Linked DNA regions of Callithrix jacchus. Each later gene encodes a partner of the first gene's protein in a complex. Links are inferred from orthologs where the notes say so. Each region holds a gene or a part of one and is shown in the gene's direction. Other genes may lie near its edges.

Region 1 (4,712 bases):
CCCCTAGTTACCCACTGTACAGAGGGAGATCAAGGCTTAGAGACAGGAAGCGATTTCCAGAAGTCCATAGCAACTCAGTCCCAGGAATCTAGGCTTCCTGACCAGGTCATAGCAGAAAGGGTCCATTCCTTCCCCTACTTGTACCTTCACAGAAGCTTCCTGGAGAGCCCTGGGTTCCAGGAGTCCATTATTCATTCCTGGCTATGCTGAGACTTGCTGAGTGACCTTGGGGACTCCTCCTAGAGAATGTAAGTTTGACGAGTGCAGGAATTTTTGTCTATTAGTCCCTGATATGTCTCCAAGTCTAGAACAGTGTTTGGTCCATAGTATGTGCCCAATAAATATCCATTAAGCGAATTAATGTTGCCTGTAATCCCAGCACTTTGGGAGGCTGAGGCAGGATTGCTTGAGCCCGAGAGTTCGAGACCAGCTTGGGCAACATAATGAGACCTCACCTCATGAAAATTTTTAAAAATAAAAAACGAGTGAATATCTAGATAGCCAGGGTTAGGGAAGTGTTACAGTCAGAAAGTCTGAAACCCAAAGAAGACCAGGAAACTGGGGGCTTTATCCTGAGATACATGAAAGGCTAAAATTTTGTGCACAGTTATTTACAGAGGGCCCATTATGTGCTTGGTAGTGAGCTAGGAACTCCCCAGATTCAGTTAAGAACGAAGTCATGACCTGATCTCAGATGTAAGGTAGGGGCTGGGGGGTGTGAGTGGTAGGGAGGCAGCGTGCTCAACAATACAGACACTTTTCTTAGCCTGAGCTGCCCTGACATGGTCTGACTGCTCAGAGGTGGTGAGTGCAGCCGGGCTGCCATGTTCAAGGAGGGCGCCGGCCGCCCACCTACCAGAGGCTGCGCCAGGAGGATGCGGGAGATTTCTGCCTTGGGTGAGGTCACCTCCCACCCCCAGATTCCCTGCTCACACAACCCTGCAATTTTCTGACGCTGACGGCTCGGATATTATTTCCCGATTTTCGAGGTCCCATGATGCTGACAGCCCCAAATGCTAAGTGGTCTGCCCACGTTCCTGGACCCGAAAGCAATAAAGGCGAAGTCATCAAGGGTACACCCACCCACTGCCTCAAAAGGCCTCTGGGGGTGGTCGGCGCGCCCCTCCCCACCTCGCGGGGGCTGTGTGGGCGTCGTTCGGTCGCTGGGGTGCCGGGGACTTCGTGATGAGAACGGCGTCCCAGAGACCGCGGTGACAGAGCCGGGACACGTGACAGTCACAGCGTCACGTTCTGCGGTCCGCGAGTTTGGGAACGGGCTGGTCACGTGATGCAGTGGGGGCATCATGGGGTGATATGAGATGCGGGTGTCTCGGCTTACGTACAAATGACGTACTCCTACGCCTTTTGGCAACCAGATTTCCGTTGGAAGTTGCAACGGTTCCGGTGAGGGGGGCGGGTTCTCGCGTCCAGGCAGCTCCGTTTCCGCTCGGGGCGCAACAACTTCCGACTCCGCCTTCCCCCTCCGGCGAGGAAGAGACGCGACCTTGTGCGCATGCCCCGAATTTATCACGGAGGGGCGGGGCTGAGGCTGAGAGAGCAAGAGAGGGGAAGAAAAGGGAATTCCAACCTGTGGAACCTTAGTGGTCCCCGGGGTCGGCTCCTTCCCATTGACTGTGGGTGGTGCAAGGGACAGAGCGTCTGGCGGCTTGTGGGGGTGTTGAGGTCCGCACCGGGAGGGAGGGGAGTGTCAGAGTGTGAGTGGGGTACGGGAATTCCAAACTTGAGGGCCTCCTGGCTCAGGCGCCGAGGAGGGAGAGCTCAGGCCGCCATGCGGGACAGGACCCACGAGCTGAGGCAGGTGAGACATGGGGGCAGTGGAGATGTTGAGGGGCGGACGAACTGGAACGCAGGACTCCTGATCTTCAGGGCGGGGAGGGATGGCTGATGGCCAGGAAGGAAAGTCCCGGAAGCCTGTGGGTCGTGCGGGGTGAGAGCCGCAGCGAAACAGTGGTACCAATGACTCCGGGCCTCGCAGGGGGATGACAGCTCGGACGAAGAGGACAAGGAGCGGGTCGCGCTGGTGGTGCACCCGGGCATGGCACGGCTGGGGAGCCCGGACGAGGAGTTCTTCCAGAAGGTAAGGGGCTGGGGTCTCTGCCTGGATTCGCGAGGGGGTAGGAAGACCCGAGGACCAGCGTGGTCTGGAGTACCCCATATCTCTTTCAGCCCTCTCGGTCACCCTCCCCAGGTCCGGGCAATTCGGCAGACTATTGTCAAACTGGGGAATAAAGTCCAGGAGTTGGAGAAACAGCAGGTCACCATCTTGGCCACGCCCCTTCCCGAGGAGAGTGAGTGAAACTCCGACTGCAGGGCGCATGCACCACCTTAGGGATTGTGGGGGTTGTAGTCCCACATAGGTGATTGCCAGGGTGGTTTGTTGAGGTGGGAGCTGCTGTTCGGAGTCGTGGTCTTCTCTTATTCAGGCATGAAGCAGGACTTGCAGAACCTGCGCGATGAGATCAAACAGCTGGGGAGGGAGATCCGCCTGCAGCTGAAGGGTGAGCTCCTGGGACCTCAGACAGATCCTTCCCTTTGATCCTGCCCTGTTGTTGGTGTATCTGGGGAGTGTGTGGCCCAGAGAAGCCGATGATATAACCAGGTCACACAGCAGGCCTGGGTCTAGCATCTCTGTCTCCTGGCCTCCAGGCCATTGTACTCTCCACAGGACAAGCCGGCCTCTCAGGTTCTTTTATTTACAATGTAACCATTTACTTACACAGTTATTGCAGCCCACTGGGCATTCTTTGGGCAAGAGGATGGGGTTTTGTTAGGTGGCCTCTGCATACCTATGGGAACTCAGTGATGTAATGCAAAGAAAAATAAACGTACTTTCTCCTCTTGGAGGCTCAGCCTTAGTCATTTTATGATAAATTATATTTCCCTAAAAATCCATGGAAACAAGTACCCCCAGTACTCCATGTGTCTTCCCACAGCCATAGAGCCCCAGAAGGAGGAAGCTGATGAGAACTATAACTCCGTCAACACAAGAATAAGAAAAACCCAGGTGGGTTTTTTTTTCTCAGAAATGAGGACATTTCAGCAAATGTTTCATGAAGTACTGGATGACAGATGTATGAAGGAAGGGCCTGCAGAGATGGTGGAGTCCAGCGGAATGATTTTCCAAATGGGGAAACTGAACTCAGAGAAAGAACTTGCTCAAAGTCAGGAAACCAGGTCTCCTGATGCTTAGTCCGATTATAATACCCTGCTTTATTTTCTTTCATTCAATAAGAAGTTGCTATGACCCCAGACAAGACCTAGGTTTGGCTGTAGGGACACATGTTTCTTTTACTTTTTTTGCCTCAGCCTCCTGAATAGCTGGGATTACAGGCAGACATCACCATGCCTGGCTAATTTTTGTGTTTTTAGTAGAGATGGGGTTTCACCATGTTGACCAGGCTGGTCTTGAACTCCTGACCTCAGGGGACACTCCTGTCTCAGCCTCTAAAGTGCTGGAATTATAGGTGTGAGCCACCATGCCTGGCTGGGACACATATTTTCTAGGAGTCAAGATGAGGAGTTCAGGTTCAATAAGGACAAAGACATTACTCACGTAGGACTTGGTGATAATGGTGCTGCCCAGGGAAAGAGAGAAGTCATAAATGACTGGCAGCTTTCCTGCCTATGTGACAGGGAGTCCTTAGTCCCACAGGCAGAATTCAAGAAGGCAGGAAGAGGAACTTCCCTGGGGCGACACTGAAGAGGAACTTCCCTGGTGTGATATCTTATATTTTTAATTATTATTTTTTTGAGATGGAGTCTTGCTCTGTCACCCAGGCTGGAGTACAGTGGCAGGATCTCGGCTCACTGCAACGTCTACCATCTGGATTCAAGCTGTTCTCCTGCCTTAGCCTCCCAAGTAGCTGGGATTGCAGGTGTGCACTACCACACCTGGCTAATTTTTTTATATTTTTGGTAGAAATGACGTTTCACCATGTTGGCCAGGCTTGTCTTGAACTCCTGACCTCAAGTGACCTACCTGCTGTGGCTTCCCAAAATGCTACGATTACAGGTGTGAGCCACTGTACCTGGCCTTTGGGGTGATGTGACTGGCCCTCTCTGGGTCCCCAGTGAAAAGTACTTTAGGATTCTAGGAGGTCAGGGTTGGAAGTTAGGCCCAGGGTTGGAAGTGAGGACCCCAGATTGAAGATGGAGCAACTTGGGCATCTTGGAAGGGTGCAGCCGGATCCAGGAGAGTAGATGTATCTCTGGAAACGAAACTCCAAGGAACGAACATATTTAAGGCCTCAGGAGAAGGGGCAAGGCAGAGCAGATGACCTATAGCCAGTGCTTCTGGGGTAACCTGTGGTGCTGATTGGCATGAGAGGTCAAGGGCCCATGTGGGCTTGTTGCACCTGTTTTGCCTGGGCGGCATGTTCATCTCTAGGCTTATGAGCACAGTTGTGGTATAAGCAGCAAGGTTGGCATTCAGCAAGTGCCAGACCCTTTTGGAACTGTTTAGGATACAGCAGTGAACCAATGATCCCTTTCATCATGGAACTTCCATTCTGGTGTAGAGAAACAATCACCATAATACATAAGTGAATTATTTAGACATAATAAGCATTATGGAAAAAAGAGCAGAGGAAGAGGGACTGAGTATGCTGGAGAAGAGTACAGATGCAATTTAAATCAGGTGGAAGAACTTCATTCAGAAGGTAACATTTGAACAAAAGATTTAAAGGTGTTTG
Region 2 (4,008 bases), on another chromosome or scaffold:
GATAGCTATAGAGCCTCCCTGTGGTGGCCTCCAGGGACAGCTATAGAGCCTCCCTGTGGTGGCCTCCAGGTTGAGGGTTACCAGGACCTGAACAAGAACAGTTGCTGGGGGACCAGGAGGAGGAAATGGCAGGAAGTAGGATGGGCTCTGAAGGCCATGCCTGCCTGGGTGGCCTTTCCCCACACTCCTTTGTTGGTGGGAACTGCTGTGAATTGAACTGACTTATGGCCTGGTGGAGTAGACACACTCACACGTGAACCTTTTCATTCCAGCAATCAGACTTCATGGAGGAAAGCTAATCTTACCTGCAAAATTGCAATCGACAATCTAGAGAAAGCAGAACTTCTTCAGGGAGGAGATCTTTTAAGGCAAAGGTACCTGTTCTTTTGTTTTTCTGGGCTCTCATAATAAAATAGGTAACAATTGGCAAGGTGTAAAATCCATTGTAGGGAATCCCTTCTTGTTTTCAGCTTGGTGTTTAATTTTATTATATAAGTAATTTTTTAAAGTTTGAAAGAAATGCATACTTATTTGTAGTAAATTGATAAAATAAAGTATAAATTACAAAATGCAAATATCGAATCTTTTTTTTTTTTTTTCCTCGAGACAGTCTCTCTCTGTAGCCCAGTAGTGTAGTGTAGTGGAGTGTAGTGGCTCATCTTGGCTCACTGCAACCTAACCTCCACCTCCTAGGTTCAAGTGATTCTCCTGCCTCAGCCTCCCTAATAGCTGGGATTATAGGGTTGTGCCACTGCACCCGGCTAATTTTTTGTAGTTTTATTAGAGATGGGGTTTCACCATGTTGGCCAGGCTGGTCTTGAACTCCTGACTTCAGGTAATCCTCCCGCCTTGGCCTCCCAGAGTGCTGGGATTATAGGCATGAGCCCCAGTACCTGGCTGAAAATATGGAATCTTATTACTCATGAGCATTTTGGTATATTCTCTTCTCTCATTTTTTTCTTCTACATTTCTTAAGTCACAATTGTACCATACATATAATTTTATATCCTGCTGTTTCAGCACAAAACTTGCTCATTTAAAAAAAAAGAAAACTTTTAAAGCCTAATTCTAACAGTACATAGTATGTAGATTGTATGCTAATACTATCCCCTATGTGTGTTTGCATTCCTAGTGTTTTGGTGTTGTAAGTAATACAGCAGAGCATGTCTTAGAACATAAGGCTTCATCTGCATTTTGGATGTTTCCATTAGAGGGATGTTCAGGGATGAGATGATTGAGTCAAAGGAATGAACATTTCTAAGGCTCCTACATTGTCAAATTGCTTTACAGAAGGTAGCACCGGTTTCTGTTTCTACTAGCAGTCCATAGGAGTGTGGGTCTCAGCATATCCTTGCCAGCATTGAATGTGATCACTTAAAATATATATGCTGATTGGGTAGGCAAAAAGTGAGATATCATTTGGATATGGGGCCTTCTTGCAGGGAGACTTTTGTTGACATTCTTCCTCTTTCTCTTCCTCTGAACTTTCAGGAAAACTACCAAAGAGAGCCTGGCCCAGACATCCAGTGCCATCACTGAGAGCCTCATGGGGATCAGCAGGATGATGGCCCAGCAGGTCCAGCAGAGCGAGGAGGCCATGCAGTCTCTAGGTAAAGCTGGGCCCAGAGTAGGAAGCGTCTCCCAGAGACACTGCTCTAGCGCCCTAGCCCTGGCATCTCCACCCTGGGCTCCTCCACCACGGCCCACACGAAGTTCACTGACTTGGGGGGCTTCTTCCTCGTGAGATGACTTGACACCTTGGTCTTATCCATAGTGGGGATATGCTGCTCTTATTTCCCTTTACTAGGAGACCCCACACCCCCATCAGTGTTTCCCCAGGGCGGGCATTCCCAGGGTCTCAAGTGTAAAGCAGAGGTCCCCAGGCCCTTTCCTAGAGAAGGTGTTGGCAGAGGTGGGTGAGGGGCCTGGGAGTCTCATTTACAGCCAGGGCTCTGGGTACCCATATGGCCAGGCAAATTTGGGAATCGTTGCTCCACGGGATGTTTAGTGAATTGGCTGATGGTAAGACTGCTAGGACCTTAGTTTACAATTATACTCCCCAATGTTATTTTTCCTATGAGTTCTTTTTAAAAGATGAGAGTCAAAGGCTGCAGGAGAGATTGCTTGAGACCATCTGGTTCCCTCCAGTAGTTTTCCCAGAGTGGCTCCTCTGTGACACAGAAGAGTATCAGCCCTCTCCAGGGTCCTTCAGTATGAGACAACAGAAAAAGAGGGTTTACTCTTTGAAATGCTTTTGGAACATTGCACACATGGACAAAAGTAGAAAGCATGGTATCCTGAATCATCTGAGCCCTGAGCCCATTACCCCAGCCAGACTCGTTTCAATTCTACCCTCAGCCCATCTCCTATCTGAATTATTTTGAAGCAAATTCCAGACATTGTCCATAAATATCTCAGTACATCTCTGTAGAGGATGAGGGGCTCTGGGGAAAAAGCAGAAACAACCCCAGAACCACAATACCATTATCACCTCTAGAAATTATCTTTAATTTTGAACCACTTTTTTTCAGTGCAGCAAACAGGCAGAAGCAAAAGGAAAGCAAGCAGGTGATCCCATGGTCACTCTTTGTGTTTACAACTTACCTGAACATTTCAGCTTAGAACCAGCCAGGGGCCTTCTCTCAGCGTGTCCTGTGGGAGAGGCGTTGGAGAGAGAGGGAGCAAAGAGACAACTCAGCCTCTGAGTCCAGGGCATTTATGCTCTGGTGTGGTGAGAGGATACCCCCTCACTAACAGTGGGAAGGAGACACAAATGCTGGTGGTTTCTGGGGTGTTGAGAGGGTCCCAGTGTTCTTGGGGCCCATTTTATAGAAGTAATAGCTATTGAAAAAAAGGGAAGAATACAGTTCTCAACCCCCTCCTTATCCCTCATAAATTCAGCTTGATTTAAAAGCCTACTAGGACCATAATTGTGAAACAAAAATCTTATTAGGAATATGGTATCTGGAATTTGCTGCACAGTTGTAGGAGTAGGGGAGATGGGGTAAGGGGGAACAGGATTTCAGAGGTTGGTGGTTCTTGGTTATGGGTGGTAGACATATGACATTTCATGATACTATGCTGTCTGCTTTGTGATGGTTCAAAATTCTCCATAATGGTAAAGTTTATAAAGAAAGACCTGTTAGGTTTTTACTTAGCAAGTTCTTAGGGTTTTGAAATGGCAGCAGGCAGGCGTGGAGAAAGAGTGGAGAGGGATTCCCGTTCTGTGAGTGTTTGCTTTTCTCCTTTTATCTGTCATTTTCAAAATGCTGCTGTGTTTCCTCTGATAATTTATCTTATTTACTTATTAGCTTTTAATTTGTTAAAAGGTAACACATACAACATAGAGAAGGATAAAAAACTCTAGCCCAGCACTGCCAGTAGAAACATAACAGGAGCCACATATGTTAACTTTAAATTTTCTAGTAGGCACATTTTAAAAAGTAAAAAGAAACATAAAACATTAATTTTAATAAGATAGTTTATTTAGCTCATTATGTAAACTATTACAGTTTCAATGTACAACTAATATTAAAAATTATTGAGATATTTTACCTTCCTTTTTTTCCATATTAAGTCTTTGAAACATTGTGTGGATTTTGGCCAGGCAAGGTGGCTCACGCCTGTAATCCCAGCACTTTGGGAGGCCAAGGTGGGTGGCTCACTTGAGGTCAGGAGTTTGAGACCAGCCTGGCCAACATGGTGAAACCCTGTCTGTACTAAAAATACAAAAAAAAAAAAAAAAAAAAAAAAATTAGCCAGGCATGATGGCACGTGCCTGTAATCCTTACTCAGGAGGCTGAGGCAGGAGAATCGTTTGAACCCAGGAGGTGGAGATTGCAATGAGCCAAGATCACACCACTGCACTCCACCCTGGGTGACAGAGTGAGACTCTGTTCCAAAAAAAGAAACGTTGTGTGGATTTGACACTCACTGACATATCCATTTGCATTTGTCATGTTTTATATACACAAGAGCCCCGCATGTCTAGGGGCTGCCATATTGGCC
Region 3 (4,781 bases), on another chromosome or scaffold:
GGATACAGCCCCTGCCTCGCTCTCCTACCCGTCCCTGCCACGCGTGCCCCCCCCCCCCGGCCTCCGGATACAGCCCCTGCCTCGCTCTCCTACCCGTCCCTGCCACGCGTGCCCCCCCCCCCCGGCCTCCGGATACAGCCCCTGCCTCGCTCTCCTACCCGTCCCTGCCACGCGTGCCCCCCCCCCCGGCCTCCGGATACAGCCCCTGCCTCGCTCTCCCACCCGTCCCTGCCACGCGTGCCCGACCCCGGCCTCCGGATACAGCCCCTGCCTCGCTCTCCTACCCGTCCCTGCCACGCGTGCCCCCCCCCCCCGGCCTCCGGATACAGCCCCTGCCTCGCTCTCCTACCCGTCCCTGCCACGCGTGCCCCCCCCCCCGGCCTCCGGATACAGCCCCTGCCTCGCTCTCCCACCCGTCCCTGCCACGCGTGCCCGACCCCGGCCTCCGGATACAGCCCCTGCCTCGCTCTCCTACCCGTCCCTGCCACGCGTGCCCGACTCCGGCCTCCGGCGGCGGCTCACCTCCTGGTTGTACGACCGCAGAGCTTCCATAATCACATCCTCCTTCCCCGTCTCCACGGCTGCTGCAACCGCCCGGGGCTCCATGGCGCCCCCGGGACCCGCCCCAGCCGTTCCGGGCCGCAATTCGCCGGCCCCGCCCTGGCCCAGAGAGCTCCGCGCCAGCGCGCATGGGAGGCCGGGACGGGGTGCGGCGTCGGGCGGCGCCTTCAGGGGGCGCGGCCTGGAGCCGAAGCGGCGGTTCGAAGGTTTCCAGACCCGAGTCGCCCTCGACCGAACTGACCCCTCTCCTTGTGACCCGCGCTTCTTGGGCAGGAATTTCCAACGGGAAAGGATCTCAGCCCCCACCTCGCCCTGCCACACACACAGCGCCGCCCCTGGATCTCCACAGAACGGATGGGGTGTGGAGGGGGAGCCGAAGTGGGGGACTTTTCAGTCCTGGGCCATCGGGTTCGTTAGGCGTTTGCTGGGGAACGCAGGCGAACGGGACTCCTAGGTCCATGCTTTCGCGGAGCTTTTGTTCCCGAGGGGAAGGCACACAAGCAAACACCAAAGGACACGAGGCTGTGCTTCAAAACGGGCAGCGAGGAAACGCTGCTTTTGCTGACACCGGACGACAGGAAGTGGCCGGGAACAGGGCTCCTGCTCGGGGGGGCCTGCTCCCTCCTCATGACGCGCCTGTGAATCCTTCCCCGCCGTTAGGACCTAACCCACGGAAGCGTCTATCCCACACCGTAGTCCTGGCACCGAGCCAACAGCCCCGCCCCGCCCTACGCTCACAGGAACAACAAACGTCACATCCGCGGTGGCGCACACCAGTAATCCCAGCACCTTGGGAGGCCGAGGCGGGAGGGCTGCTTGGCCCGGCAGGCGGAGGGTGCAGTGAGCCGAGATCGCGTCACTGCACGCCAGCCTGGGACGGTGCGGAAAATGAAAGGCACATCCGTGCCGCGCTCCTGCGACCGGCGGTTCCCAACTCGTAGCCCTCAGCCGGAAGTCAGCGAGTTCAAGGCGGAAGGGGCAGGGGCATATAGGGGCGTGGTCGCTGCGGAGGCGGGGCCGGAAGTCCTGCCCCTTGACTGCGCCACGTCCGAGGCGGCGGTTGCCGCGTCGGTGTCGGCGTTGAAGAGCCGGGGAAGGCACCATGGCGGACTGGGCTAGGGGTGAGCGCCAGAGAGCGGAGTCGTTGGGGGCGGGGCCGGGCCCGGCCGGAGCCGACGCTGTTACCTGCAGAGCCGCGTACGCCTGCCTCTAAACTGTCCTCGGCGGAGAGGACCCTGTCACGGGGGCAGATTCGGATCCTTCCGGGTCCGAGGGGGCGGCCTAGCCGCTCCAGCGAGGGGTCGCGCAGCTGCGGGGTCCCCCAACTCTCCGCCATTCCCTGTGAGATCGTTCTGCGTGGGTTCGGGGTGCGGGAGCCTCCGCATTCGGCAGGTCCCGGGGCCAGGCCCTAGGAGTACAGGCCACGCGTGCACCGTTGGTGTCCAAGCAGGCGTCTGCTAACTTGGGCCTCGATGGCCCCAGTCCCCCTCCCGGAGCCCGTGTTCTTGTCTGCAAAGTGGGATATTGATGTTTGCCTGTCTGTGTTGCACCCGTTGCTTACATTGAAGCTAGGCAGCAGGTGGTTCTCACCTACCTGATGTGACAGAAATTCCTTATCACCTGGCCCAGCCTATCACATCACAGGCCAGGCCGCTGCAAGCACTATGCTCTGGGTGTTGCGGGAAGCCCTCTGTGGGATGCAGACCAAGGATCCCTCTCTTGGTCGACCTCAGCTCCCATGGTGGGGAATTGGGAGCTTGGCTCAGACCTTTTTTTGTGCGGTAAAGCGCCTTCTCAACATTCTGTCCTGGTTCCTTGCCACCTCTTCAGGAGCCAGCTCTGAAGTCGCCCCTGTAGGAGCCTTCCTACTGCTCTGCTGGGTACTTTCCCCAAGCCTTTCCTACACTTTTACACAGATGGGACCTCCATGGATGCAAGTGTCACATCTTACCAGCATCCCAGGGCTGGGTGCAGTTTCTGCTACACAGTGTGGGAAACTGCTGGTTGCACCGAGCCTGTTGTGGGTGCTTGCCCATCCCCACCTGGATGTGTACACAGGGCGTGTGTTCACATGACATGCGCTTACTTACACACATCGTTCTTTATGCAGCCTGCCTCACATGTGCAAGATCCACCTGCTGGAACCTGGTTAGGGCCTTGTGTCTGCCACCTGCCCAGCAGACACAGGGCCCAGTCCCCCTGGATTTCCAACTCACCCAGATGTGGTTGGAGCGACGGGTCAGGGGCCGTGCTCACCGGTGGATGCAACCCCTCAGCCTCTCTCTCTTCTCAGGTCAGAGTCCTGGTGCTGTGGAAGAGATACTAGACCGGGAGAACAAGCGAATGACCGACAGCCTGGCCTCCAAAGTCACCAGGCTCAAATCGGTCAGTGGTGGTCTCCTGTCCTCTTACCTCTACCATGTGCCCTTGGGGGGTGGGGGTCAGAGGAAAGGCAGACGGCCCAGAGGAGTTTCAGGCAGTTTTCTATCCTCATGTGCTTTGTGGCTGTGCTCACCTGCATGAGGCCCCACCTGGACCTCTCTGCTGCTGCAGCACTCTGGCAGAGTTGTTGGCAGGGCTTGTCTGGTCTGGGGAGGGTGAGTGCTGCATTATGTGTCTGCTCTGGCCCAACCCTGCCCTCTCTGTGCTGAACAGCTTGCCCTGGACATCGACAGGGACGCAGAGGATCAGAACCGGTACCTGGATGGCATGGTAAGGGCCTGCCCCAACACTACCTGCTGTAGAGCCTGCAGTGTCTCCTTCAGCACTGGTGCGGGTGGGTGGTGAAATCACCACTTCTGTGTGATCTTGCTGGGATTCCCCCTTTAGGACTCGGATTTCACAAGCATGACCGGCCTGCTTACAGGGAGTGTGAAGCGCTTTTCCGCAATGGCAAGGTCTGGACGGGACAACCGGAAGCTTCTGTGTGGCATGGCCATGGGTCTGATTGTGGTCTTCTTCATCCTCTCCTACTTCTTGTCGAGGGCAAGGACGTGAACCAGTGGGAGCTGGTGTCTCTGGGTGCCTGGCGTCTTGGGCTCCAGAGAACTTACCTACAAAATACTCCTTTGAAATTACAATTGTGGGTTTGGAATCTTCTTCCTGTGGGGCAGGAGGCTGTGGCAGCCTGTGACCTGATGAGCTCATGTTGGCTGTGGAAGGGACTCTCTTTTGGGGAAACCAAGGGCCAGCCCCTCCCTCCTCCCCCAGGTGCTAGAGACACCAGCAGAGTTGGGGCCACAGCATGTCTGGAGGAGCCAGGTCCAAGCGCAGCAGCTGTTGAATCCCAGACGTAGCCACTTGAGGCCTGCAGCCTTTCTCCCAGCTCTTGGGACGCTGACATCTTAAGGCCCTATGGCTGTGTCCTTGTCTGGGTGAGGCCATGTCTGTGATCCAAGGTGCCTGGAGCTGACACAGGAAGGGACTGTGAACCCTGAGTGAGTGCCATCTCCTCCGACTGAGGCCTCTCAGCCTGGAGATGACGGTTCCTTCTGGCCACGGTTGCTAGGCATGGGCAGACCAGCGTGGGCTACTCTGCTGTGAGTTTTCTCTGCCTGCTCTCCAGTCCTGCGGATGAAGTGAGACCCTTGGGGAGAACTGGGGTGTGGATGGAGTGAACTGCAGCCTTGGCCTAGTGGCTGCGCCTGGATCCTTCTGGGTCATGTGACTGTATCCAGGAGCAGAAACTTGCGTTCTCAGGAGTCAGGATCAGCCCAGCACCAAAGACGTGTTTTCGGGAGAGCAGACCTAGAAGTGGGCCTGTTTGGCATTTCAGAGTCAGGCAAACCTGTGGATCTACACAGGAAGGTTCCTGTGAGGACTCCAGTTGCCGCCTAGCTTGCTGGTAACTTTTGCCCCTCTGCCAAGCCCTGCCAGGCTCCCTTGACTGTGATGGTGCTCCGTGCTGTCCTCTTGTCTCTAGCCTCTGCAGGATGCCCACCCTACCCACCTCTCCCTGGGCTGGGCTGATGTTCAAACCACTGGACTGGCAGGGAAATGACTTCTTCCCACCTCAAGATGAGGTCCCAGCCCCCTTGTCTTGGCATAAAAACACCTTTGAAGTATGAGTCGTGTGCTTCTGTGCCCTTCTTTGTCCTGTTCCAATCTTGTTCCTTCCAGTCACTCCCTGGAGACTATGGGCTCACTGTCCCCCCACCTGTGGCCACACCATGTGTCCCGTCCATCCCAAACTGCCTCAGAGCTCCAGGCTGACCAGAGAC
Region 4 (3,352 bases), on another chromosome or scaffold:
CTTTATTTGGAGTAAATGTTTTTCGGTAGGCATCCTGCATCCTATTTCGATGTTTAAATTTTAGCCTGTTTTTTTTTTTTTGAGATATAATAGTAAAACACAAAGCACTTTTTGAAGCTAGTGTATGTATTTTGAAGCACATACATTTTAAAGCTTACTTCTGTGGACTTCAGAAAGAAATAAGAGACTGGAAGGGAAGCCCCTGGCATATGGTGGGTGCTCCACAAACAGTAGCTCTTAGGTTTTTGTCCTCGTGGTCGGCAAGTGGCACAGGAGGGCTGGCAGGTGCGGTGGAAGGAGCACTGCAACGAGCTGGGGCCTCAGTCCTGCGCGGTGGCTCACGCCTGTAATCCCAGCACTTTGGGAGGCTGAGGCGGGAGCATGGCTTGAGCTCAAGAGTTTGAGACCAGCCTGGGCAACATAGGGAGAACCCTCATTGCAACAAAACTTTTAAAAGTTTAGCCAGGCATGGTGGCACATGCCTATACTCCCGGCTACTTGGGAGGCTGAAGTGGGAGGATTGTTTAAGCCCTGTCTCAAAAATAGGAAGTCTCAGTCCTGCCACTTGGTTGCTGTGTGACTTTGGGCAACTTAGTAATACTCTGAGCCATGGGTTTCCCTTTCATAAAATAGGGGTAATACCCACTTCTTGGATGCTGTGGGATTCATGGCTATGCAAGCAAAGCCCCTTGCCCTTGGTGACAGCTCCTGTTCTTGTCATGATTTACGCTTCGGGGAGGAGGAGGTGGCTATATTGGTCAAGCATCCCTAAACTGAAAATCCAAAATGTGAAATCCTAAGTGCTCCAAAATCTGAAACTTTTTGAGTGCCGACATGACACTCAGAGGAAGTGCTGGTTGGAGCCCTTTGGATTTCAGGTTTTGGATAAAGGATGCTCAGCTTGTGTTTACCTTTTCTTCCACAGGAAGCTGAGATCGATAGCATTCACCAGTTAGTTGTGGGGGCAACTGAAAATATCAAGGAGGGCAATGAAGACATAAGAGAGGTAGGCACCGTTTGAGTCCCCAGGTCCGAGGTGGTGCAGCACTGAGTCCCAGCAGTGGTGTTCGTCTTGCTGGCACCGCTGCCCAGGAGTCTTGCTGGGCAGAGCTCACAGGGCTGATCACAAAATTGTGTGGCCGTGAGGTCATGATCAGTTCCAGCCAAGCTGCGTGTGTTCATGAGACCCACCAGCCCACCACCCATTGCCCACCTCCGGCTGCTGTCCAGAGGCAATGGCTCACCAGCCTCCAAAGGAGTAATCCAGGGTGGGTTGGGTTACTCCTGGCAAGGTCAGGCCAGCTCCCCACATACAGGGATGCACACTGGTGGACAGGCTTGTTGGCCCCCACTAAGGGGGACACTACTGTTTCCTGAGCTCAATCCTTAGGGTTGGGTCACCAAGGACATCGCATTACTGGGAAACACAAAGCTGACAGTCACTCTCTGCTCAGGGCTTTTAACCCCGGGACAGAAGGGAGTGATTCCAAGAGTTGTGCTGAGAGAATCGTGCAGGACCCAGATGATGGCCACAGAGAAGGGAATATAACCCATTTGTCTTCTGGGAGAAGACAGGCCCACTTTTTAATTTTGCTTAGTAATTAAGCCATCTCTTCAGGGTAAGCACAGATCGAGCAACACCCATAGTTACAGCCAGGATCGGAAGAGCACGTGGGAAGAGTGGGGCATTTCAGGGCTGCTGAAACCAAAATCCGGTGTGATAAAACACCTGTGCTCCTGTCCCTGCCCAGGCCATTAAAAACAACGCTGGCTTCCGCGTGTGGATCCTCTTCTTCCTCGTGATGTGCTCCTTCTCCTTGCTCTTCCTCGACTGGTATGACAGCTAGCCTGGGCCGCGGGGGCCCAACATGAGAGCCGCACGGGCACCCACAGACCGTACCTCCGGTGCCAGAGCATGGTATGACCAGACTTTATCCCAGAGCCATGTGAAGGGAGAGGGGTTCAGACAGGCAGACATCTTCCCCAAAAAGGGATACCCAGGCTGATGTTGTTCAGCCCATTTAGCAGCTGAGAAAGAAAAACATGTGCAACAGTGGGAAGGGGTCTTGTAGCCATTTTAAGGCAAGACAGACTGAATGCGGGAGCTGGTGATTCTCCTGAACTTGAGGCTGCCTTGGCAGGGGGTGCTGCACCAGTAGCAGGGGCACAGCAGCCCTCAAGAGCCCCCAGTTGTCTCAAGGTTCAAAGGAAGTCATGACCTTTCCCATCCTGGTAGCTTCAGGGAAGAAGACAGTTACTAACGTCTCCCAACAAATGATTGCTTCTTTGTTTCCTGTGGCTTCTTGTCTGTCTGAGTCATCCAATACACAGACTCACTGGATTGCAGAAAATTCACATCTGCCTTGTTAATCTAATAAATACAATTACAGCCCCTCAATGTGTTGTCAGTGTAAGTTGAGAAATTTCCGTGGAGGCCCACCCACCTCCTTTCAGGGAAGAAATGCAGGGGAGGCTCTGGGGCCCTCCGTGAGGGGCTGCCTGGCGTGACTCCTCCAAAGACTGCTGCCCCCAAAGCAGCCAGGGGTGTGGGAGCACCACTTTCTCCTCAGTGGGTCCAAGGAGACTTTGTGCAAAGGAGGAAGTGGGCCATGGAAGAATGGGCCTGCTTCTCTTGTGCCTGTGTATCTGACCTTCCAGGAAGTATAGACAGGAGCACCTGTTTGTAATGGAAGGCGTGAGACACCTGGACCACATCTGGAAAGAAGGCATCCCAGTGCCCACATGGGCATGAGAGCGTGCCCTGCGCCTGGTGAAATGCGTGTATACAGACAGTCCACTGCAGCACAGTATCCTCGGGTTCTTTATTTGCACAGAGTGAAATGTCAGAAGTTACATGGAAATGAATTTACAGTCAGTAAAGTCCACGTCTACTGGAAAACACACCCAGGCTCGGCCTCTGCACTGTGCGCACATGGGCTTCACTTGTGTCTCTGCAGATGTGCAGGGAAGTTTGGCACGGATTTATTGCGCTCAGTCGTTTTCCACAGCTTAACAATGCCCTTCTCAACTCGTGCCTCTGTGATGCACCCTGCCGTGCCAGGAAGGTAAGGTCGCGGTCTGTTTCCAGACACCTTGATGATAAAATACATCTTATGTCTTAGAAGCACACCAGGAAACAATAGTGGAGCTGGCCTGGTCACCATGCCTGTTCGCAACAGATCTCACACTGTTTGTCGTTTATTACTGGTCTCCTAAAAAACTGAAACTTGTGACATGTCCACCAGAAACAACACATTCAAAGAACATAGAAGAAACGTCTGTAGAATGTCTTTTTTCTATTTAATTGTTTTACACACTTAGTTTATCTAACTGGCAGTTTTGTAAACATATA
Region 5 (4,670 bases), on another chromosome or scaffold:
TTCTGCAGGTTTATCTCAAGTCTCAATTGAACTGCCTCCTCCTGTCAGACAGGGACAACTGGGAGGTGAGCAGTTGGGTCAGGAATGTGGGAGCCAAGGGCATAGATGTGAGGACCTCCCTATGGAGAGGAAAAGGAGGCAGCTGGAATGCAGACCTGGGACCCTCTCTTTACCTCTCTGGTCACTTAATTTCTCTGAGAGGCATTAACAGTTAAAATCCTGAGAGGGTTATTGCCAAGAATATGGATGGGGCTGCTTTCTGGGAGTGGGGAATAAAGGTGGTGGTACCCAGAAGTTTTTTACTTCTTTTTGTGGAGGCGGGGTCTCCTTATGTTACCCAGTCTGGTCGCTAAGTCCTGGGCTCAAACAATCCTGCTTTGGCCTCCGAAAGTGCTGAGATTACAGGCGGGAGCCACTGTGCCCGGCCCCCCTGACTGTGAAGCTTCTTCCCACTCACCAGGATGAGCCCCAAGAACCTCAAGAACCCAACAACGTGCCCCTAGAAGACACAGAGACAGATGAACTTTGGGCATCCTTGGAGGCAGCTGCCAAGCGGAAGCTCTCAGATTTGGAGCAGACCCAAGGAGCTCTCCAAACCAGGCGGAGAAAGAAGAAGCGGCCTGGGTCCACCAGCCCCTGACACCCCTCTGTGCCCAGTTTGTAAATAAACAGCTAAACACCCTCCATGACCCTGAGCCTTTTGTGATGGGAGAAAGGAATGAGGGGTAGCTTGAGGTGGGGGCTCCCTGAGCTGGGGTGACGGGATACCTAATGTCACAAAGCCGGGCCTGGAGCCAGGCAGGCTGGTGTGGGTGGCACGGAGTCTGGGGCCGCGCGGGGCCATGGGCTGCTGCCAAGACAAGGACTTTCAGATGTCTGATGAGCAGGAAGAAGAGTCCGAGGACCTCGGGGAAGGTGAGGCCACAGATAAAAGAAGAGGGCCCAGGGAGCGGGAGAGGGGGCTTCCTGAGGGTAGGGCTGAGCTCAGAGGCCTCATCGTCCCCTCAGGCGCCGAAAATATCCACGTGAACGCCCCAGACCACCGGAATCACAAGTCGAACGAAAGCCTTCTGATCACTGTGCTGTGGCGGCGGCTATCCTTGTTCAGTCGTCGGGGCTCCTCGCGGGCAAGCAAGAGGCAATCAGACGTGGTTCGGAAGAAGGAGACTCCGATCCGAGAAGGCAACCAGGAGGAGCCGGAGAAGGGATGACTCCAGACCCGCTCTTAGTCCACCCGTACCTCCAGAGAATAAAATTTCTGACGTGAACCTGCAAGACCGTTCTGGGGACGGGGCGCGGACACCTCCGGGCGGCTGGCTCTTTAAGGCTCCTCCCCGGAGGCGGGCCCAGCCCCCTGGGCTCCGGCTGTTGTCTTCAGGGGCGGGGTCATGGTGGTATCTTAGCCAATGGGATGGTGGGGTTGCTCTTGCGTTTGGTGAGGGGCGTGTCTCTCGGATAGCCGGGCTCGAAAACGTGTGGGACCGCCCCGTCGTCACCGGGGGTGGGGCTACGTGTGGGTGACGTGGCCGCTTCCAGTCTTTGGTCGGGTTTCGGCGGCTTCGGTTCCCAGGGAGGAGGCGGTGACGGCCGGGGAGATTGGCAGTGGTGGCGGCGGCAGGCGGCAGAGGGGAGGTAAGATTCGCTTTCAGAGGGTGTCTGGACACCGTGTCAGCTCCGGGGTAGTGGTTTTACGGGGGCGACGACTGGCGGGGGGAAGGGAACCAGGGGCGAGCGGGCAAGTCCTGCCGGCCCGGCTCCCGGTGAGCGAATTCCTTGCCGTCCAATTAGGAAAGCCTCTGTTGAGAGAGACGTCGGCCTTAGCTAATGAGTGATTGAAGTCTTCCAGAAGGCGGACCTTGGGCGGGGGGTGGGACTTCCTGTTTCAAATAAACACCCAGAGGTTTGCCCCTCCGCCCACCGAAGTGTGTCCCTCTCTGGAGGTCCGTCACCCGCTCTCCCTGGCCGAAGGAAACCGCAGATACAAAAGGGCTGGGTAGGGGCAGTTACACAGGCCAGGCCAGAGTCTCAGGACCACAGGACTTGGCTCGGGCCCTCTCCCTGCTTCAGGGTCCTCGGCCCGCGTTTTGGCCGTCAGAGCCAAGTTGAAAGAAGAGTCTGAAGAGGGTTCGACTTGGGCCAGGGGAAAATCGGGGCCCTTTCCGCTGCGGGCCTGCTCCAGGATCTGCGAGCGCCTTGGGCGCGAAAGTCTTTAAAAAGTGCAGAAGGGGCTCGAGGATTTGTTGATTGGGACGGGGCTGGGGAGTTTGGGTAAAGAAGCTGCCTGGGGAAATGACACTCTCCCCTCCACAACAGTCCGAGGTTATGCGTCTCAATGATCCCGCGGAAACGCTACGGGTCTAAGAACACGGATCAGGGTGTCTACCTGGGTCTCTCAAAGACACAGGTCCTGTCCCCTGCAACTGCTGGCAGTAGCAGCAACGACATCGCCCCTCTGCCCCCCCCAGTGGCCCTCGTCCCTCCCCCTCCCGACACCATGTCCTGCCGGGATCGGACCCAGGAGTTTCTGTCTGCCTGCAAGTCGCTGCAGAGCCGTCAGGTAAGGACCTGCAGTGGAAAAGGTGAGGAGTGACTCTTACTCAAATCTAGGAAGGACTGTGCTCCAGCACTGTTAACTGAAGTAATTCTTGGGGAAACCTGATGGAACTGATAGGCTTGGATGGGGCTAGTAAGGTCTGCTATAAGTAACAGAGAAGAGGTCGGCTGGCTAATTAGAGGCAAGGACTTAGACATTTTTTAATGAGGAATCCCCTGGAGTGCAGGATTGCTATTCTGGAGAGAGTACTTCAGGGCCAGACTTGGCTGCAATATAATTGGTGTGAATAAGGAACAAGTTGTAGGAAGAGCCTTTAGCTGAGAGACATCCACCTTGAATTTTCCAGTATACTTCTGCCATAAGTTTGCTCTGTGACCATGAGAAAATTAGTTAATCTAGTTATGTCTTTCTTAGTTTTTAATCTCTGTAAGACGAAGGACATTTTTCTATATCAGTAATTTGTTGTTTTGTTTCTGTTTTGTTTTGAGATCTAATTTCAGCTCTATCAACAGGCTGGAGTGTAGTGGTGTGATCATAGCTCACTGCAGATTTGAACTCCTGTACTCAAAGGATCCTCTTACCTCTCGGCCTCCTGAGCAGCTGGGGCTACATGGATGTACCACACAGCTAATTTTTTTATTTTTTTGATATAGCCAGTGTCTCACGATGTTGCCCAGGTTGGTCTGGGCACCACACCTGGCCTAGATCAGTAATTTGTATCAAAATCAATGGGTTGGTTACGGTGGCTCATACCTGTAATTCCAGCACTTTGGGAGGCCTAGGCTAGGCCAGAGGATTGCTTGAGGCTAGGAGTTAGAGACCAGCCTGGGCAATATAGCAAGACCCTGTCTCTACAAAAAGTTAAAAATTAGCTAGGTGTGGTGGTGTATCCTGTAGTCCCAGCTACTTGGGAGGCTGAGCGGGAGGATCGCTTGAGGCAAGGATGTCACGGCCACAGTGAGCTATGATCATATATTCCAGCCTGGGAGACAGAGTGAGACCCTGTCTCAAAAACAGAACAGTTAAAAAAAAGTTTTTTTTTAACTATTCATCTGTTGGTAAAGCTGCTCTTCTATGTGATCTCCAAGGGCTTTGCAGTCATCCTCACTGACTTCCCGATTTGAGGAATAGAATGGCAATACAAGCTACCATTTATTTAGTGCTTACAATGTACCAGGTAGTTGATGAAAGTACTTTTCAGCTTTTTTGTTATTTAATCTTAGCAACAAGAAGCGGAGAGGTGTGGATTGTCTTCATTTTACAGAAGGGGAAATAAGAGATTCAGAATGTTTTAAGTAACTCGTTCCCAAAACCCCTAGCTAGTAAGTAGCGAGTCAAGATTTGAACTCCGGTTTACTTGTCTTCAAATCTGGAGTCTAAACCACTACCACTGATAAATCTAGATCATTGGATGGATGCCACCAGTACTAGAGATAGTTTAGTGGACACCTGAGGAAGAGTGAAAACTGGAACTGGGGAAGGGGGATCTAAAGTTGTCACCTCCTGCCATTGCTTTTCAGAATGGAATCCAGACAAATAAGCCAGCTTTGCGTGCTGTCCGACAGCGCAGTGAATTCACCCTCATGGCCAAGTGAGTTGAGAGAAGCTTTCTGGTGGGGTGATACAATGTCTGAAGAAAAGTAGGCTTGCCTTCAGTGGCCTTGGCTGTGAAGTCTGGGATTGGTTGTGCTGGAGCTTATATGGGAAAAGGCCTTCTCCTGCCCTTTCCCAGTCTCACTAGTGGTCGTTTGCAGGCGCATTGGGAAAGACCTTAGCAACACATTTGCCAAGCTGGAGAAGCTGACAATCTGTGAGTGTTCTTGGGGTCTTTCAGAAGTGGGGCAGTAGTACATCACAGAGGGCTGAGGACTACATTCCCTGAGCTTTGTCTTTCACCTTGCCCATTGCGGCTTCTTGTTTGTCTCTGTAGTGGCAAAGCGCAAGTCCCTCTTTGATGATAAAGCGGTGGAAATTGAAGAGCTTACATATATCATCAAACAGGTGAGCTACTAGCCATCAGAAGAGCCCAGCAATCTAATCAGATCACTTCTATGGTTCTGTCATTCTCCATTGCCATGGGGACCCAGGGCAAGTTTCTTTTTTTCAGAGAGAAGGG
Region 6 (4,008 bases), on another chromosome or scaffold:
CACCATGTTGGCCAGGCTGGTCTCGAACTCCTGACCTCAAGTGATCCACCTGCCTCGGCCTCCCAAAGTGCTGGGATGACAGATGTAAGCCACCAAGCCCGGCCTGTGTCATTTTTAAATGCCTGTTTAAGATGACTGAGTACTACTCTCACTAGGGGAGGAATAAGAAGCTTATTCTAAGCAGAGGGAATGGCCTTTACAAATGTGTGGAAATAGTAATAAGCATTTGAAACTTATCTGCATTTTCTAGAAGAGAAGAAGAAGTTGATCAGGGATTTTGATGAAAAACAACAGGAAGCAAATGAAACGGTGAGAGTGAAAAAATTTTGTTTCTTCTACGTGGTCTTCCTCTTTTCCAGAAGTAATGCTATGAACTGATCACAGATTAACTTCCTGTCTGTTGATCTTGATTTTGACTGTTTTTTACTAAATGAAGCCAACTGATGGGGATGGGTATTAAGGAGGTTTGACAAACACAAATGGGTAAAACCTGAAGACTCTCCTGAAATATGAGTCTTTGATAATATATTGCTGATGTGAGTAGTAAGGGCATTCTCATACCCTTACCCAAGCAGTCTCTTAAAATCTCTTTTTAAGAGCTGGCCATTAAGATAGGTTACTGGCCAGTGTGGTGGCTCACACCTATAATACCAACACTTTGAGATGCCAGGGCAGGAGGATCACTTGAGGCCAGAAGTTCAAGACCAGCTTGGGCAACATAGGGAGACCCCCATCTCTTCCAAAAAAAAAAAATTACACAGGATTGGTGGTGCATGCCTCTGGACCCAGCTACTCAGGAGGCTGAGGTGGGAGGATCACTTTAGCCTGAAAGGTCATGATCACACCACTGCACTCCAGTGTGGGTGACAGAGCAAGACCCTGCTTCAAAAAAAAGAAAAAAACTGTTCTTTGTTAAACTTACTGACACAGAAAATGTAGCTCAGAGGTGATTCTAACCATGTCCCTTTCTGTCTTAAAAGACAGCATTGTAGCTGGACTTGGTACCTCAGGCAAGACATGCATGAGCTTCAGGTGGGACCTAAAGTTTGTCAGAAGTTGCTTCTCTTCACTTGTGGCTTTTCTTTAAAAAAAAAAGTTTGTTTTTCCTCCAGCTCTATGGAAGCAAGAGTCCTTTGACTCCATTTCATTATACTCTAGCAAACCCATTAAGACTGGGGCCAAAATCCTGGTCCCTGCTAGAACCCTGCAGAAATAGTTGCCCCTGCTTTTGCCATCCCAGAGCAGATGGAGAAAAAAATTCTGTTTTAGCCAGCGAACTGCCTTCTTGCCTGTTGAAGATCAACTTCTCAATTTCCCAGTTATCCCAGTGAAAAAGAAGCACATCTGCATCCTTTTCTCTGTTTTGCATGTGCTTTATGAAGGACCAGGCTACCAGACTGTGGAAACTATCTTCTTCCTAATGGGAGTACTAGGAATTTTTCTTAATACCTGTGTACAGCTGGGCATGTCCATGATACCTGTTTGTAGCCATTCTCCTGTTTTGATTAACATATTGGTAGCCTTTTAAAAATCTAGCTACTACTGATTTGTTTGGTGCTCAGATACTTGTTTTCTTCGAACTCAACAAAATAATCCTACCTTGACCATTCCAGGCAGATGAAAATAATTTAGGGCTGCTTGTGAACATCCCCAGGTGTTACATTTTACTTATCCTAGAAGAATGGAAGTCTGATTCCTCTAAAGCACCTGCTCTGAGGTGGGCCCCTGGTTGTCTCTGACATGGAGACAAACATGATTGATTTTCAGAAAGAGGAGCAGGAAAAGTTTTTAGTACAGTAGACTTCAAAGCACTTCTTGATGGCAGTGTTCAACCGTATATTGAAGAGAGCCAAGAATTTGAAGATTTTGAATCCTGACTCCTTTTTAATTTTATTTTTATAGAGATGAGGTCTTGCTGTGTTGCCCAGGCTATGCTCAAATGATCCTTCTGCCTAGGCCTCCCAAAGGGCTGAGATTAGAAGCAGGAGCCACTATGCCTGGTCCAGACTCCTCCTTTTTGTGTAATCTTTAGCAGGTTTCTGTAAATCATATATGAAATGGAACATTTGCTACCTTATTGATTTGTTATGAGGATTAAATGGAGGATATATAGAAACATGTTTAGTAAGCTCTAAAATACTTTTGTCTCTCCATTCATTCATTCAGTTCATATATTTTGAATGCTTGCTCTGTGCTTGCTGGGCACTGTGCTAGGCATTTGGATTGAGAAGAACATCCCAGAAATGGTCCTGCCTTATGTAGCATATGGTTGAATTATTTACTTGGTGTAGTCCAAATAAATAAGTAGTTTGATTAATCCAAACTAGGCATATTTCCAAATGAGTGAGGGAAGAACCAGGCCATCTACTCACTACTTTCTGCCTTCCCAGCTGGCAGAGATGGAGGAGGAGCTACGTTATGCACCCCTCTCTTTCCGTAACCCCATGATGTCTAAGCTTCGAAACTACCGGAAGGACCTTGCCAAAATCCATCGGGAGGTGAGAAGCACACCTTTGACAGCCACGCCTGGAGGCCGAGGAGATATGAAGTATGGCATATATGCTGTAGAAAATGAGCATATGGTAAGTTTTAGCTTCCTTTTTTTTCCTTAAGGGCCTGTGGTACAAAAATTAACCATATCGTTGGATTATTTCATGTTTTCAGTGTATACTAGAAAATATTTTTTTCACCCTTATCCTCTTTTCTGCATCCAGCTCCTGTTATTCCCTTGGTATATGCTCTATTTAATGTAGCCCTTTCTAATCATATGCATATTTAGATTTCCTTTTATCCTTAATATAATACAGTCTTATAATAAAAATAGTGCTTTGTATATAGTAGTATATAAGTGTTACTTATTTTTTCTGGATTCTGACCCATTGATCTAATTTCTTCTTGATCTTTTTTATTCTTTCATATAAATTTTAGAATCACTTTCTCAAGTATGCCTGGAAAATTCCATTAGGTTTCTAATTTATCAGAGTATTGTTTCAAAATCAATCCAAGCTTTCCTTTACCTTAATGTCAAGATGGCCCAGCAACTGAGATACTGTAGCCAATGCAGGGTGCTTCTCGTGGAGCTTTTTATCATTTTATTCTGTGGTAATGGAAAGTGAGCCAGACTGCTCTCTAGTTTTCAGGATTCTAATTTATAAGATTGGACTAATTGAACATCTGTATTCTGAAACCATCTAAGAAGCTAGTCGTTAAAGAAATTAAACGTCTGAAAGGTTAAATGTGCTGCATTTGGTCTATCTTCCATAAACACAACACAAAGTAAGACTTGCCTGGCAAGTAACACAGAAGAGAGATGGAAAGGGGCCCACCAGTGCAGTCTGAACAGAGGTAGAAAGGCTCATACTACAGTTTTAAACAACTCCTGTTTCATGATGCATCCTGATTATAGTTTAAGAGACATTGAAAATGATATTGGCTTGACATTGCTGATGCAAAACTAGACATTTTGAGGCTGATGTTTTTAAAATTTTCGCACAGATGTACGAGGGATCGTCACAGATTAGAAGCTGACAGATCACTTGAAAAGGGAGGCTGGAAAAGGGCAGGCGGGTGGAGTGTGGTTCTACTGGTTTTATTTGAACCTCATTTAGTGGTTTCCTCATCTACTGGTCTATATGCTATTTATCAAGTGAAAATGCTACAGAGCACCTGACATGGTGGCTCATGCCTGTGCCTGTAATCCCAGCACTTTGGGAGGCTGAGGCTGGCAGATCACCTGAGATCAGGAGTTCGAGACCAGCCTGGCCAACATGGGGAAACTCTGTCTCTACTAAAAATACAAAATTAGCCAGGTGTGTTGGCGGGTGCCTGTAATCCCAGCCACTCGGGAGGCTGAGGCAGAGGCTGCAGTGAGCTGAGATCACGCCACTGCACTCCAGTGAGACTTTGTCTCAAGAAAAAAGAAAATGCTACTTCTTGCTACTTCTGGTCTGAGAGCCAATCTTTTGGCTTCTTGATGATCCTACTGCCAGTGGTCACCTGCTCTGTAAT
Region 7 (4,517 bases), on another chromosome or scaffold:
TCTGACAGGGAGATCTCAGGGAACTTACAATCATGGTGGAAGGCAAAGGGGAATCAGGCACGTCTTACATGGACAGCTAATTATATTATAAAGTTTAGGGTACAGATGAGATTACTTTAGGAGAGAATAAGGAGTAAGGGGATTTGCTAGAGTCCTGAAAGGTCTAAAGAGAGCCAACACTTAGAGTTCACACAGCTTAGTAACTCAGATCTGTCTGACTCTAAAACTTATTCTTTTTCTAATATAATATGCTGCCTCTTAAAGAATAGATACTGAATGCAATATAATTTTAATAATGTGAAATGTGAATCTTTGCAGAGGGAAGATAAAGCAAGGGGAATGATTAAGATCACCAGGAAGAGTGTGAAGAATAAGAAGAGAAGATGGCGTAGGATAGAACCCTATGGAATGTGAACATTTCAAAAGAAAATGAAGAGCTGCCACAGAGGTAAGAGGAGAAGCGGGAGTGTATAGCATCTTGCATAGAGCTAAGAGAATAAAGGAGTTCAAAAAGGAGGAAATAAGGGCCAGGCGCAGTGGTTCATGCGTGTTATCCCAGCACTTTGGGAGGCTGAGGTGGACTGATCATGAGGTCAGAAGTTGGAGACCAGGAGACCAGGAGACCAGCCTGGCCAATATGGTGAAACCCCGTCTGTACTAAAAATATAAAGAATTAGCTGGGCGTGGTGACAGGCGCCTGTATTCCCAGCTACTCGGGAGGCTGACGCAGGAGAATTGCCTGAACCCAGAAGGGTTGCGGTGAGCCGAGATCGCGCCATTGCACTCCAGCCTGGGTAACAAGAGCGAAACTCCGTCTCAAAAATAAAAGAAGAGCTTGACTCTGATTCGGCAACAGGGAATAGGGATGGAAGAGGGATGGGTTTAGATCAAAGGAGAGTAGTAGTTATCATTATTATTGCTAAAGAATGGGAGAAAGGATTGGTGAGGGGTACAAGAAAATAAGAACATTTCATGGCAAAAATAGAGGCACTTCCTGTCAGCTGAATTCTATTTTGTCGGTGAAGAAACAGGCAATGTTGCCTACTGAAACTAAGCAGGAGAGACGGGGCAAGCGTGGCTCTTCATTTATGCCGCCTACTCACTGCTGGTAGAATCTTTTCTTTCTTTCTTTCTTTCTTTTTTAAGACGGAGTTTCTCTCTTGTTACCCAGGCTAGAGTGCAATGGCGCGATCTCGGATCACCGCAACCACCGCCTCTTGGGTTCAGGCAATTCTCCTGCCTCAGCCTTCTGAGTAGCTGGGATTACCGGCACGAGCCACCGTGCCCAGCTAATTTTTTGTATTTTTAGTACAGACGGGGTTTCACCATGTTGACCAGGATGGTCTCGATCTCTTGACCTCGTGATCCACCCGCCTCGGCCTCCCAAAGTGCTGGGATTACAGGTAGAATCTTTAGCCTGCATTCTCTCATTTGCGTGGATCCCTATACGGCGTTTGACGTTGTTTACGGCCAGAGCTGTCCCCGGAACGTGGCCAGTCGGAACTACTACTCCCGGAATGCACTACGGCTCCTGGGAAGTGCGGGGGGGGCGGGGCTGGGAACTTAGCAGGCCTAGCCCTGTTGCCTGCTGCCATTGGAGGAGCGCTCCCATTCCCAAGAGGCCACGCGTAGGCGGGGCGCTTCACGCGGAAGTTAGCGGCGTCGGGTCCCAGCCTCCTCTGGGAGCGGGCAGTTGGCGACCCTGCGCTGACCCGCGCCCCTAGGTCCCGAGCCCGCGCGCCCTCAGAAGGTGCCCGGACAGGTAAATGGAGTGGGGCGCGCTCTGTGGGAGGCGGAAACACAACTGCGGAGGGAGAGGGAAGGTGTCGACGGAAAGGTGCTGGGGTGGAGCGGGTAGGCAGTGTAAGGGTGACTTGGGCTTCTCTGGTGTACACAGTACCGGTTGTCGGGCAGGTCCGGTTTCGGCGAGGTGCGTCTTTTGCCGCTGGAAAGGCCTCGAGTTAAAAAGAGTGTCAGAATGCGTCACTTAAGCTGTCATTACAGGAGGGAAAAAATGTTAATTTTCTCTCAGTTTGCATTCTACAAGACTTTTCTGTACCATTTAAATCGCTTGAGATCGACCGAGTCTTCTAAAAACTCTCTGCGTCCTTATTCGATGACGTCACTTTCCGCTTCACCTACTTCTGGCTGTTTATGCTCCTTCGTGGGTTCCTGGCCCCTTATTCACCCTTCCTCCACTGCTCATTATTGACAGTCCACTTCTTCCTCTGTTTGGCTAGGAACTGTATCTCCGCCTAGACCTGTTTCCTCATCTTCAGACCTGTTTGGTGTTTTTATTAACCGCCAATGTTTATCAAATTCTGACCACGTGCTAGCGTCTTTGGTAAACGCTTTACATCTCCCACTCCCATAACTCTCACAATCAGCTGTCTTCATTCGGCCTCATTTATTGCTTTCAACTACCTGTATCTCCATTCTCCCTCCCTTGATCCCAGAGATACAGCCATGTTAGGGATATTAATTACCTTTGAATACTTGTGGCTGAGAGCAGATCCATTCGTATGTTTAACAAATATTTATTGAGTGGCTGATCTGTGCTTGACACTCTTTTTTTTTTTTTTTTGAGACGGAGTTTCGCTCTTGTTACCCAGGCTGGAGTGCAATGGCGTGATCTCGGCTCACCGCAACCTCCACCTCCTGGGTTCAGGAAATTCTCCTGCCTCAGCCTCCTGAGTAGCTGGGATTACAGGCACACGCCACCATGCCCAGCTAATTTTTTGTATTTTTAGTAGAGACGGGGTTTCACCATGTTGACCAGGATGGTCTCGATCTCTTGACCTCGTGATCCACCCGCCTCGGCCTCCCAAAGTGCTGGGATTTTACAGGCATGAGCCACCACGCCTGGCCGACTCTCTTTTTAAGTGCAGGGGATACAGCTGTAAACAAGACTTAGGTTGCTACACTCAGGAACTTACATGTTTGTGTCTAGAGGGGAAAACAGAAATAGGATTATGTTATATATTGCCTAATGTGAAATAAAACAGGTGGTTGACTTGAAAGGGTGGGATCCTATCCTAAGAAAGTCAGAGAGATTGGATTGGGTCTCAGAGCATCATCCAGAAAGAATAGTTGTAATACTAACAGGAATAATCTTGATCTATAACCTGACTTCATAAACACCTCTCCTTTTCCCCTTTCTAAGCAGTGTTTATTCTTCATTTTTTCTATCTCCTCCAAGCTTATTGCATCCGAATTCTTGGTTTATCTGTAGTTACTTTATTCTTTCTAACTCCCAGATGGAAGAGTTGGGGATTGGATTACTGTTAGCTCAACTGCTTTATCTTACTTCAAAAGGTGATTTGGTTGTGAAAATATTATTCTTACTAGGTCTTTCTGAATATAAAGTTATCTATCATTTATAGTGTATTTAAAACCAAAGTATGCTCAATGTTCACTTACTTATTCAACAAATACTTGAGGGCATGCGCGGTGGCTCAACCCTGTAATCCCAGCACTTTGGGAGGCCGAGGCGGGTGGATCACAAGGTCAAGAGATCGAGACCATCCTGGTCAACATGGTGAAACCCCGTCTCTACTAAAAATACAAAAAATTAGCTGGGTGTAATCCCAGCTACTCGGGAGGCTGAGGCAGGAGAATTGCCTGAACCCAGGAAGCGGAGGTTGCGGTGAGCCGAGATCGCACCATTGCACTCCAGCCTGGATAAGAGCAAAACTCCGTCTCAGAAAAGAAAAAAAATACTTGAGGGAAGGTTAACTGCTAGGCACCGTGCTGAGCACTGGGAAAGTAGGGTAAAATAGACACTTTGGCCTCTCTTCCACGGAGAAATAATCCTAACAGTATAGTGAGGAAATTCCTAAGGCATAAGCTGATACCTACATTCCTGTTATTCACCCAAGGTGAGATCATCACAAAGCATTAAGAAATTTCCTGAGTGGTTGTGGACAGTCTTAGATTATTCACTTATTACACTTTATCACATTTATTTATATCTGTCTTCCTCATTGTACCATGGCTCCCTCAAGTATAGGAGTCCCTTCTTCATCAACTTTATACCTCCAGTGTCTACTTTGACTAGCATATAGCAAGCCCTCAGTACATATGTGTTGAACTGAAATAGAAAAACTCCATATCTGATCAAATTTAAATGACATGATTTATACAAGACCTTCTCTATGTAAGGCCATCAGCTGTATTCCTCAATCTTGTCATTCACCAAAGGTGGACCATTCCATCTCATCAGGCTAGTTTATGTACCTTCTTTACCTTGTTCTCACCTCTATGCCTTCTCTTGTTTCATCCGTTCCTCCTAAAATGATCTCCCATCTCTTCCCGAGCACCTTGTCTACCGCCTTACTTTAGTGGGCCAGTTAATTTAATGGTCTGCTCATGATACAAGAATGGAGGCCGGGCACGGTGGCTCACGCCTGTAATCCCAGCACTTTGGGAGGCCGAGGTGGGTGGATCACGAGGTCAAGAGATCGAGACCATCCTGGTCAACATGGTGAAACCCCGTCTCTACTAAAAAAAAACAAAAA

What was found.
Region 2: STX4 (region 1) and BNIP1 share a complex: the UniProt entries of both Homo sapiens proteins name them as parts of the SNARE complex. The link is inferred for Callithrix jacchus from reciprocal best matches to the Homo sapiens genes STX4 and BNIP1.
Region 3: STX4 (region 1) and BET1L share a complex: the UniProt entries of both Homo sapiens proteins name them as parts of the SNARE complex. The link is inferred for Callithrix jacchus from reciprocal best matches to the Homo sapiens genes STX4 and BET1L.
Region 4: STX4 (region 1) and STX18 share a complex: the UniProt entries of both Homo sapiens proteins name them as parts of the SNARE complex. The link is inferred for Callithrix jacchus from reciprocal best matches to the Homo sapiens genes STX4 and STX18.
Region 5: STX4 (region 1) and STX5 share a complex: the UniProt entries of both Homo sapiens proteins name them as parts of the SNARE complex. The link is inferred for Callithrix jacchus from reciprocal best matches to the Homo sapiens genes STX4 and STX5.
Region 6: STX4 (region 1) and VTI1B share a complex: the UniProt entries of both Homo sapiens proteins name them as parts of the SNARE complex. The link is inferred for Callithrix jacchus from reciprocal best matches to the Homo sapiens genes STX4 and VTI1B.
Region 7: STX4 (region 1) and VAMP7 share a complex: the UniProt entries of both Homo sapiens proteins name them as parts of the SNARE complex. The link is inferred for Callithrix jacchus from reciprocal best matches to the Homo sapiens genes STX4 and VAMP7.

The regions. Positions count from the first base shown.
Region 1 is NC_133513.1:30,560,238-30,564,949, forward strand, and holds the start of STX4 (syntaxin-4), read left to right. Parts: upstream 1-1,520; 5' UTR 1,521-1,789; coding exon 1,790-1,819; intron 1,820-1,996; coding exon 1,997-2,098; intron 2,099-2,187; coding exon of another isoform or gene 2,188-2,209; coding exon 2,210-2,309; intron 2,310-2,444; coding exon 2,445-2,519; intron 2,520-2,954; coding exon 2,955-3,025; intron 3,026-4,712. UniProt on the Homo sapiens protein: Plasma membrane t-SNARE that mediates docking of transport vesicles. Necessary for the translocation of SLC2A4 from intracellular vesicles to the plasma membrane.
Region 2 is NC_133503.1:65,519,398-65,523,405, forward strand, and holds part of BNIP1 (vesicle transport protein SEC20), read left to right. Parts: intron 1-272; coding exon 273-374; intron 375-1,491; coding exon 1,492-1,610; intron 1,611-4,008. UniProt on the Homo sapiens protein: As part of a SNARE complex may be involved in endoplasmic reticulum membranes fusion and be required for the maintenance of endoplasmic reticulum organization. Also plays a role in apoptosis.
Region 3 is NC_133511.1:131,725,723-131,730,503, forward strand, and holds the start of BET1L (BET1-like protein), read left to right. Parts: upstream 1-1,596; 5' UTR 1,597-1,663; coding exon 1,664-1,682; intron 1,683-2,854; coding exon 2,855-2,946; intron 2,947-3,216; coding exon 3,217-3,273; intron 3,274-3,390; coding exon 3,391-3,558; 3' UTR 3,559-4,781. Other genes in the region: RIC8A (chaperone Ric-8A), read right to left, coding at 523-606. UniProt on the Homo sapiens protein: Vesicle SNARE required for targeting and fusion of retrograde transport vesicles with the Golgi complex. Required for the integrity of the Golgi complex.
Region 4 is NC_133504.1:184,608,980-184,612,331, reverse strand, and holds the end of STX18 (syntaxin-18), read left to right. Parts: intron 1-925; coding exon 926-1,006; intron 1,007-1,751; coding exon 1,752-1,847; 3' UTR 1,848-2,398; downstream 2,399-3,352. UniProt on the Homo sapiens protein: Syntaxin that may be involved in targeting and fusion of Golgi-derived retrograde transport vesicles with the ER.
Region 5 is NC_133511.1:120,111,734-120,116,403, reverse strand, and holds the start of STX5 (syntaxin-5), read left to right. Parts: upstream 1-1,534; 5' UTR 1,535-1,632; intron 1,633-2,313; 5' UTR 2,314-2,332; coding exon 2,333-2,557; intron 2,558-4,074; coding exon 4,075-4,145; intron 4,146-4,308; coding exon 4,309-4,364; intron 4,365-4,484; coding exon 4,485-4,555; intron 4,556-4,670. Other genes in the region: WDR74 (WD repeat-containing protein 74), read left to right, coding at 9-65, 461-640; TEX54 (testis-expressed protein 54), read left to right, coding at 843-1,211. UniProt on the Homo sapiens protein: Mediates endoplasmic reticulum to Golgi transport.
Region 6 is NC_133509.1:102,657,260-102,661,267, reverse strand, and holds part of VTI1B (vesicle transport through interaction with t-SNAREs homolog 1B), read left to right. Parts: intron 1-250; coding exon 251-309; intron 310-2,390; coding exon 2,391-2,582; intron 2,583-4,008. UniProt on the Homo sapiens protein: V-SNARE that mediates vesicle transport pathways through interactions with t-SNAREs on the target membrane. These interactions are proposed to mediate aspects of the specificity of vesicle trafficking and to promote fusion of the lipid bilayers.
Region 7 is NC_133524.1:151,450,863-151,455,379, forward strand, and holds the start of VAMP7 (vesicle-associated membrane protein 7), read left to right. Parts: upstream 1-1,639; 5' UTR 1,640-1,762; intron 1,763-4,517. UniProt on the Homo sapiens protein: Involved in the targeting and/or fusion of transport vesicles to their target membrane during transport of proteins from the early endosome to the lysosome. Required for heterotypic fusion of late endosomes with lysosomes and homotypic lysosomal fusion.